Saccharomyces cerevisiae S288C: one gene and its partners. The gene in region 1 interacts genetically with each later gene. Each region holds a gene or a part of one and is shown on either strand. Other genes may lie near its edges.

Region 1 (3,206 bases):
CAAAATGTTCCTGCTGGTGAAATTTTGGATTCTTTGAACCCTGAAAATATTGAAATATCATCTGGTAATCCAAATGTAGGCCTTCTTTCGACTGAAGAACCATCATATAACCAGGTCAAAGTAGAACCATTTTATGATGCTAAAAAGTATAAATTCAGAACAATGAGGCAAAACTTACAGGAAGCGTCTGATGTCCTCGATGATCAAATTGAATCGTTTACTAAGATTATTCAAAATCACTATAAGTTATCTCCAAACGACTTCGCTGATCCAACTATTCAATCTCAGTCCGAAATTTATGCTGTTGGAAGGATAGTTCCAGATTCGCCGACCTACGACAAGTTTTTGAATCCAGAATCGCTTTCCCTAGAGACCTCAAGAATGGGCGGCGTTGGAAGAAGGGTAAGGTTAGATCTATCGCAGGTCAACGAGCTTTCGTTTTTCTTAGGCCAAATTGTGGCATTCAAAGGTAAAAATGCTAATGGGGATTACTTCACCGTTAACTCTATTTTGCCGCTACCTTATCCAAACTCCCCAGTGTCCACATCGCAGGAACTGCAGGAGTTTCAAGCAAATTTGGAAGGTTCTTCTTTGAAGGTTATCGTGACCTGTGGCCCATACTTTGCAAATGATAACTTCTCCCTCGAATTGTTGCAAGAATTTATCGATAGTATAAATAATGAGGTAAAACCTCACGTCTTGATAATGTTTGGCCCATTTATAGATATCACCCATCCTCTGATAGCGAGTGGTAAATTGCCAAATTTTCCCCAGTTCAAGACACAGCCCAAAACATTGGACGAGCTTTTTTTGAAGTTATTTACTCCTATTCTAAAAACCATATCACCACATATCCAAACCGTATTGATACCCTCCACAAAAGATGCAATTTCTAATCACGCCGCATATCCACAAGCTTCTTTAATTAGAAAGGCTTTACAGCTGCCTAAAAGGAACTTCAAATGCATGGCTAATCCTTCATCTTTTCAAATAAATGAGATATACTTCGGTTGCTCAAACGTTGATACATTCAAAGATCTAAAGGAAGTCATAAAAGGCGGTACTACCTCATCAAGATATAGATTAGATCGTGTTTCTGAGCATATTTTACAACAGCGCAGGTATTACCCCATATTTCCAGGTAGTATTCGTACAAGAATAAAACCAAAAGACGTATCTACGAAGAAGGAAACCAATGATATGGAAAGCAAAGAAGAAAAAGTTTATGAACATATATCTGGTGCAGATTTAGACGTGAGTTATCTGGGACTAACAGAGTTTGTTGGTGGGTTCTCGCCTGACATAATGATTATACCCAGTGAATTACAACACTTTGCAAGAGTTGTCCAAAACGTAGTTGTTATAAATCCCGGAAGATTTATTAGAGCAACAGGTAACAGGGGATCCTATGCACAAATTACTGTCCAATGCCCTGATCTTGAAGACGGGAAATTGACGCTTGTTGAAGGTGAAGAGCCAGTTTATCTACACAACGTGTGGAAGCGCGCTAGAGTTGACTTGATTGCTAGTTGATATATTTAATTCAAACTTAACTAATGGAATAGCTCAAGGTAGCACCAAAAAGTATTGTTATACACCTGAACTATCGACCTTGAAACTGGCTCTATAACTTACTTATTGATTAAAGACCATAACATGATCAGTATCCGGGTAATAAAGTAACGTGATCAGAGGCCAGAGAAAATGTTCATAAGTAGAGACTACTCTTAAATGCATAATAAAAAAAAAAACTGATAGGCATCACTCTTTCCTTTTTGACTAAGATTCCAGCATCACATTGCAATATGTCCACTGGTATTACTTATGATGAAGATAGAAAGACACAATTAATTGCCCAATACGAATCTGTAAGGGAAGTTGTGAATGCAGAGGCAAAAAATGTTCATGTTAATGAAAATGCCTCCAAAATTTTATTATTGGTTGTTTCGAAATTGAAACCAGCTAGCGATATACAAATTCTTTACGACCATGGTGTGAGGGAGTTCGGGGAAAACTATGTTCAAGAGTTGATCGAAAAGGCAAAATTACTACCAGACGATATCAAGTGGCACTTTATTGGCGGTTTGCAAACGAATAAATGTAAAGATTTGGCTAAAGTGCCAAATTTATACTCTGTTGAAACAATCGACTCCTTGAAGAAAGCCAAAAAATTAAACGAATCGAGGGCTAAATTTCAACCAGATTGCAACCCAATATTGTGTAATGTTCAAATTAATACCTCCCATGAGGATCAAAAATCGGGCTTGAATAATGAAGCAGAAATATTTGAAGTCATCGACTTCTTCTTATCCGAAGAATGCAAGTATATTAAGTTGAATGGGTTAATGACTATTGGTTCATGGAACGTCTCTCATGAAGATAGCAAAGAAAACAGAGACTTTGCTACGCTGGTTGAGTGGAAGAAGAAGATTGATGCTAAATTTGGTACATCATTGAAATTGTCTATGGGGATGAGTGCTGATTTCAGGGAGGCTATAAGGCAAGGAACAGCGGAAGTCAGAATTGGTACCGACATTTTTGGTGCTAGACCTCCAAAAAATGAAGCTAGAATCATTTAGTAGGTTGAATGAACTGAGATTTTATACGAAGATCTTTTTTTTTATAGCATTACAACACAAAATGAAAATAAATAGAATCTCAAATATATATATATATGTGTGTGTGTGTTTATATATGTACAATGCGGATGATTTTCATTATAGTGAATTTGAGAAAATTTTACTTCGTAAGCACATTCTTTATACATTCGACAATGTACTTCGCCAGGGGACCGGCCGTCGTTGTTTTACAGGTAACATTAACTGTTCCATTTACCTGGTATTGTATCTTCATTAAACAACCGAAGTTTCCCTCACTTTTCGTATGAATAATACCCGAGACAAACAATGTACTACGAACACTGGTCTGATCGACTATATCAAAGCCCAACCTCTTCACTGTTTGCGTCAATAGTAGAAGTCCGTCTTCTAAACTGATTGTTTCAACTTTTCTAAAATCCTTGTTGAGCTTTATGCCAGATTTTTGGTATTCTCCCTCTTTTCCCAAAGCATCGCTCAAAGTCTTCCAACGGCTGATGAACTGTGCCAAATTCAAATGCATGCTAGGATTGACATCGCTGCTAATTAGTGTTGTAGTCATGCCTATGGCAGTTTTCAAATTGATAGTGTTTGTACTACCGCCACATT
Region 2 (2,779 bases), on another chromosome or scaffold:
GATTAAATTAGCGGACATTTTATTCAAAGATGAGTTCCCTGTAATATTACAGTTCATCGAGTCCTTTATCCAAGATATTTTATTAGATATTTTAAACAATATCTTATTAAGCTATAGTGAATTTTTAAAAGAAAATGGAAAGGATAGTAAAGCCAATTATGAATGCGTACCCGAACTTTATTTCACATTTATAAAAAAGTTTGATACTGAATTAAACGACTCAGTAAACGCAGGCGCAAATTTCCGTAAAGTTGTTCGTGACCTTTTAAACCTGTATCTCGAGCCCTTTGTTGTCAACTATATGAATCAGACAACTAGAGTATTTGAATCATTGATCAACTCACAATTAGCTAATTATGACACACAAGTTCAAGACAAGCAGCGTGAGCAAAACGCAAAAATTTATAACACTTTAAAAGATCAAACGGATGCTTCGAGTGCAAGTAACAATGAATTGCCGAATGACCTCTCAATAATTACTGAAACCTCCAAAACTGTCCCAGAAGCGGATTCAAAACCAAGTACGATCCATCAATCAGTTCATTCAACTGATATTTCTAATGATAAACTAGACTTTCTAAGTTCCTTCACCAAGATTTTCAAGTTCTCGAACAATGAAAATCAAAGGCTAAAGCAACAACTACAACTAGCCTACAACTTAAATTTAATTTCCAATAACTTGCAAAACATTAAATCGTTAATAAGTCTCGATTTATGTTACAAAATTTTACAGGAAACAAGCGAAAAGACGGATCAAATTTACAAATTTCATACGATTGAAAGTTTGCTACCATTGATCAAGCTACGCTGTCAAGAGATTTTCAAAATTTTAATTACACAATTGAATAAAAATCACGTTAAACCTGCATTTGAAAAGGCAATCCTGCTACTACAAAAATATAATCCTAACGAAATAGAACAAATAGAAATAAAATTCAATTCACTTTCGCCAGCCAATACTCAAGTCGAACCTTTAGTACAATTCACTGAACTTATCAATATAGGTGACATAATATTACAAATGATTTCCATTTTTTACAAGAACGAATTGATTCCCAAAAAAATTATCGATAAAAATAAAGATTTTCTTAATGATGTTATCCAATTAAAAAAAAATTTTGAGACTTCTATCGATGATTTTGTAGCCGAAGGTTTAAATATCGGTATAAACAAACTAATGGATGAAATCTCATTTGTATTCAAGACTCTTCAATTGCCTGACGATTATAATCCACCGCCACCCTCTAGGAATTCTCCAATAAGGGATATAAAGCCAACCAAATGTGCTATCAGGGTAGTCGAGTTACTTTCTAATCATTGCTTTCTACTGACTGGTGCCACAGACAAGGGTACTATTGACGTGTACCAACAAGAAATTGGCGAGAGATTCTTTAATGAAATCGTCAAACATCTGAAGAAGTGCTTCATATCTACGGAGGGCGCAATTTGGTTAATCTGCGATTTAAATTACTTTTACGATTTTATTGCTAACAAATTAAAACAAAAAAATGTTGTTCCCTATTTTGTTGGGCTTAAGTCTATTGGCCAGTTATACATCATTTCAGGCAAGGACTCGAAAGAGTTGGGAAAGCTTATTTCTGATCTTGGGAAATTCAATGGCATTTTTACGCAAGAGGAAATTTATGAATTTGTTCAGAGGAGAAGCGATTGGGTTCGTGTACGGAAAGACGTTGAAAAGGTAATGTACGGCCTAGGCATACGAGATTGCTGCATTATGTAAATTCCTATCAATGATTAATTATATTACTCTATATAGGTATGAAGTGCGGAAATAAAAGACTGTTCACATATTAGATTATTCAAGATTACGCGGGCTCTATTTTTCCCTGTTAGCCACACGCACACAAGGGGCATACAAATGTTCACTCCATTTATAAGAGGATTCCACACAAGATCATCGATAACATGGTTCAGTACGCTCCCTTTCTATTAGGAAAGTATGTTCATTCTTCATACGCTATTCTATTTTTTTTTTTTTCACACTTATTCTTTTACTAACGCATAGTTAACCATTTGCTGTTTCGAAGAGGCAACATCAAACAAGTCGATGTGCTCTTTCCCAAGCTGGTCTCTATTGCAGATTTTCTGATCCGTTATTGGCAATTATGGTAGGCTGTCTCAGCTACTATGTGTACGAAAGGAAAATGGGGCGTCCACAAGGTCATCATTTACACGAGCTCATAAAGAAGCGATGGGACGATCGCAAATAATAATCCGGCGTGAGGGGAGTATATATAAGTTTCTGGCGATATGTAAATACCATAATAATTAATCCTAGGATCTACCTTTATACGCATTTATCCTATAAAAACCCAATCTTTCAGATCCACAGTATTTTTATATGTGTGATTTCCTTGATTGTCTCAATTTAAAGAGTAATACATACAACTTAGACCAAAGAATTATTCAATAGATGACGCCGAAAGAATCTGGAAAGCCTATTTCGTGTGCAATGAAGAAGTTGAAAGGCAAGAGATCTAAGATTTTGGTTTTATCTAGAGATGCGGGCACCAACGAATTGAAGCCAACGAAAGGAAGAGCACATCGAGCTTGCATAGCTTGCAGAAAGAGGAAAGTACGATGTAGTGGTAATATACCATGTAGACTTTGCCAGACTAATAGTTACGAATGCAAATATGATCGCCCCCCACGGAACTCATCGGTATTTGATAGGGAAGTAAGCGATGATAGTTCCTTATATGCACAGAGAGCTTCCCACGAACGGGAAGATAGCAAGGGCCCTATAAGTTCCATTGAT
Region 3 (3,573 bases), on another chromosome or scaffold:
TATTGCAGCACATCAGTCACATCATCATCATCGATGGGTATGTTTTTTAGCGTGTAACCTTTCCTTATTAGATACTCTGGAATGACCTGGAATTTGATAACAGAAAGAATATGAGTAATGTTAAATTCTGCACCCAATGGTCTGTGGTCAATAATTGGACGGATTCCGCCAAGATATATGCCTCCTAATATCCTGGTAACTTCCTCGTCTACTGAGTTTGCATTTCCAGCCATCTTCCCTGTAATTTCTTGCTGCTTTTACTGCTTTCTCTGCGTTATACCTGTATTAGATGCATTCGATGAGCTGAGGTATAATTTTTTTTTTCAGTTAGATTTCTTTTTTTTAGCGCTAAGAAAATTTCAAAATTGCAGCCGTGGAGACCCAGATGGATATATTGTAGATCATTAAAAGTTGTGTCATCTCAAACTAAGAGTGGTTAATATATGTATGTGTGTAAATAACTTTTTATAAATTTGTTTCTTTTATTTCTATAGAATTTCTTTAATAAAAATTTGCAACTTTAGTTTAACGTCTAGAATCAAGCAAAGTTTGACCCAATGGTGTTTTCGAGACTCCGTTGGCATTCGTATATACCACCTGGCCTCTTAATATGGTTTTCAAAACTGTGCCCTTGACCGTCATCCCGTTGTAGGCAGTCAATTTGTTTTTGAAGTAGACACTTGAATTACTTATTTTATGTTTACTTGCAGTATCAAATACCACCAAATCAGCATCGTACCCGGGAGCTATAGTGCCTTTTTGGTGAGATAGTCCTACCTGATGGGATGTATTTTTACAGCACCATGTAACGATATCGACCAAAGAGCAGCCTTGGGTAAACATCAATGGCAAACCTAGTCCGACGGAAGCGATTCCTCCCCAAGAATCGAAAAAGTCACCTTTTTGCAAGTTCTTCAACTCAGGGGTGCATGGCGAATGGTCGCTCACTACTGAGCCTATAACACCTTCACGCAAAGCGTCCCATAGGCCTTGGCGATTAGACTCAGAGCGGATGGGTGGACAACATTTAAAGTAGGTGGCTCCGTCTGGGATCTGCTCTGCAGCAATACACAAATAGTGGAAACAAGTCTCTGTTGTGACTGGTAGCCCTGACGCACGTGCCTTTCTGATCAAGGGAATTGCTTTCATTGATGCCAGATGAACTATATGTACAGGAGGAACTGGTCCATTTCTGGCTCTCAAGCATTCGAGAATCAAATTGATGGCGTCTATTTCGAAAGAATCCGGCCTCGAGGACAAAAACGAAGAATATTCACGATGGCTTTGCTCGGGTTGCTGTTGGTCCTCATGTGCCTTGGGCAACTCAGCATGAAACATCATCATGGTATCCTCCTCGGCTAAGACCTTCAAGGCTTCTTCTATATATTCTTTGCCAATTGGAGGGAATTCTTCCACACCAGAATCAAGCAAGAATCCTTTGAACCCGCGAACGCCAGCTTTGACAAGCGGAATTAAGTCTGGCAAGTTGTGTGGTACCAGTCCACCCCAAAACCCAACATCGCACCACATTTGGCCCTCAGCAGCTTCCAATTTAATTCGGAAATTCTCCACATTTGTTGTGGGAGGAATAGCATTTAGCGGCATATCAACCACCGTTGTGACCCCGCCACTAATAGCAGCTTGAGTTCCAGTTTCGAATCCTTCCCAGCTAGTCCTACCGGGCTCGTTCAAGTGAACATGAGAGTCCACAAGTCCAGGCAGAATTGTACATGGAGATACGTTCTCCAGCGTATGTATTTCATATTTGGTTATCTCAGTTTTCTCCATAACCACGGAGCCTTCTAAAACATCCAGAATCGTGCCTGATTCGGTCGAATACACAATAGTCGCAGGTTTATTTGCACCATTGATAATGACATGGTCGGAAGTGATGGCATTGATAGGCATCTTTGTTCTTCGCAGTATTTCACTTTTTTTTTGCCTATACGTTTTTGCGAAATATACACTTTTCTAACCTAATTAAAGATAGCTAAAAGAAAAAGGGGTACCTTCAATTACAAGATACCAGTAGAAACTCATCACTTTTGCGTTACCTCATCATTGTCCCCTTCGATGAGATATGCCTCCTCTATATAGATAATTAAGCACCGCAATTTTGAACCACTTCTCCTGATAAAGTTCCATCAGTCCACCATCAACACATTTGCGCCTATTCGATGATCCGCAGTAAGGGACAATAGAATCGAAACATGCAGTTCCTTTCTTTCCTGCAATTCTCGGGTCTAATGTGGCTCGAGGGTATCTCTTATCGGTATTACTTTCTTATCAATGAAAAATTTCTGCCAGGGAAAATGCGCCCGCTTTTTTTCCGGCCATCCTTACTCGCTGTCGCATACAAAATAGCGCCTCTAATCTAGTTGCGATAAGGAATGTGTATGTGTAATTGAAGATCCAGGATGTTTTCCTTTTCAGGGAGATGAGAAGGAATAATAGGATGGATTGACCGCTTTGCTGTCACGTCGATAAGGTTCCTTTAAAAATTGTGTCCAATGATTAGCATAGAGAGGTAGAGTATCAGAGAAACAAGTTTGTAATCGAGAAACTTGATCTGCTAGTGTTGAGCATAGAAGGCTAGGAAAACATGGGGAAGAAAAAAAAAGTATAAATAATTAGCTTGATGAGTAGTTTGAATATATATGTTACTTTAGTTTCCCTTTTTGACCTTTTATATTCATCTACATCTTGTGATATAAAACATCAACAAAGACGAGAATGGCTAACGACGCTCTAAGTGCTATTTTCAGTAATCCTTCGAGGAAAGGTGTCCAACCCTCCACATCTATTGTGTCATATACAAACAATGAAGATGATATTATAGATGTGGAAAATGGGAAGTTCAACAAGAACAAGAATATCAACACTAATGTGTATGTGGACAACTCCTCAATAGAGGAGAGCGAAGTCGTGCCCTTGCCCGAAACAAAGTCCATCTGGAGTAAAATATACTACGATTTCATTGTGTTAGACAAGACAACTTTGAATGTTTCGTTGAAAGAGTCGTTCTTGTATAACAGAGACTTGAAACCGGTTGAAGAAGAAAGAAGGTGTTGGTCCTGGTTCAATTACTTATATTTCTGGCTGGCAGACTGTTTCAATATTAACACATGGCAAATAGCTGGTACAGGTCTACAACTAGGTCTGAATTGGTGGCAATGTTGGCTTACAGTTTGGATCGGCTACACTTTTGCAGGTATCTTCGTAGTATTGAACTCGAGATTTGGTTCCGCATATCACTTATCTTTCCCTATTACTGTTAGGGCCTCATTTGGTATATTCTTTTCTATGTGGCCGATTATAAATCGTGTCGTGATGGCTATAGTATGGTATGCCGTGCAAGCCTGGTTAGGTGCAACGCCCGTGGCACTGATGCTAAAATCTATTTTTGGCAAGAATCTGGAAGATAGAATCCCAAACCATTTTGGTTCTCCAAATAGCACTACTTTTGAATTCATGTGTTTCTTTATATTTTGGGTGGTCAGTATACCATTTGTCCTAGTGGCTCCTCATAAAATCAGGCATTTATTCACAGTAAAAGCAGCTTTGATCCCCTTC

What was found.
Region 2: mutations in YBL036C (region 1) and NCE101 together harm fitness more than expected from each alone (negative genetic interaction), as found in Saccharomyces cerevisiae (2 studies listed by BioGRID).
Region 3: mutations in YBL036C (region 1) and DAL1 together harm fitness more than expected from each alone (negative genetic interaction), as found in Saccharomyces cerevisiae (2 studies listed by BioGRID).

The regions. Positions count from the first base shown.
Region 1 is NC_001134.8:149,820-153,025, reverse strand, and holds YBL036C (pyridoxal phosphate homeostasis protein), read left to right. Parts: upstream 1-1,805; coding exon 1,806-2,579; downstream 2,580-3,206. Other genes in the region: DNA-directed DNA polymerase alpha subunit POL12, read left to right, coding at 1-1,533; APL3 (Apl3p), read right to left, coding at 2,740-3,206. UniProt on the Saccharomyces cerevisiae protein: Pyridoxal 5'-phosphate (PLP)-binding protein, which may be involved in intracellular homeostatic regulation of pyridoxal 5'-phosphate (PLP), the active form of vitamin B6.
Region 2 is NC_001142.9:49,591-52,369, reverse strand, and holds NCE101 (Nce101p), read left to right. Parts: upstream 1-1,926; coding exon 1,927-1,958; intron 1,959-2,101; coding exon 2,102-2,231; downstream 2,232-2,779. Other genes in the region: RCY1 (Rcy1p), read left to right, coding at 1-1,741; YJL206C (uncharacterized protein), read left to right, coding at 2,435-2,779. UniProt on the Saccharomyces cerevisiae protein: Involved in a novel pathway of export of proteins that lack a cleavable signal sequence. May be part of the export machinery or may also be a substrate for non-classical export.
Region 3 is NC_001141.2:405,735-409,307, forward strand, and holds DAL1 (allantoinase), read right to left. Parts: upstream 1,909-3,573; coding exon 526-1,908; downstream 1-525. Other genes in the region: tyrosine protein phosphatase YVH1, read right to left, coding at 1-233; DAL4 (allantoin permease), read left to right, coding at 2,734-3,573. UniProt on the Saccharomyces cerevisiae protein: Catalyzes the conversion of allantoin (5-ureidohydantoin) to allantoic acid by hydrolytic cleavage of the five-member hydantoin ring. Involved in the utilization of purines as secondary nitrogen sources, when primary sources are limiting.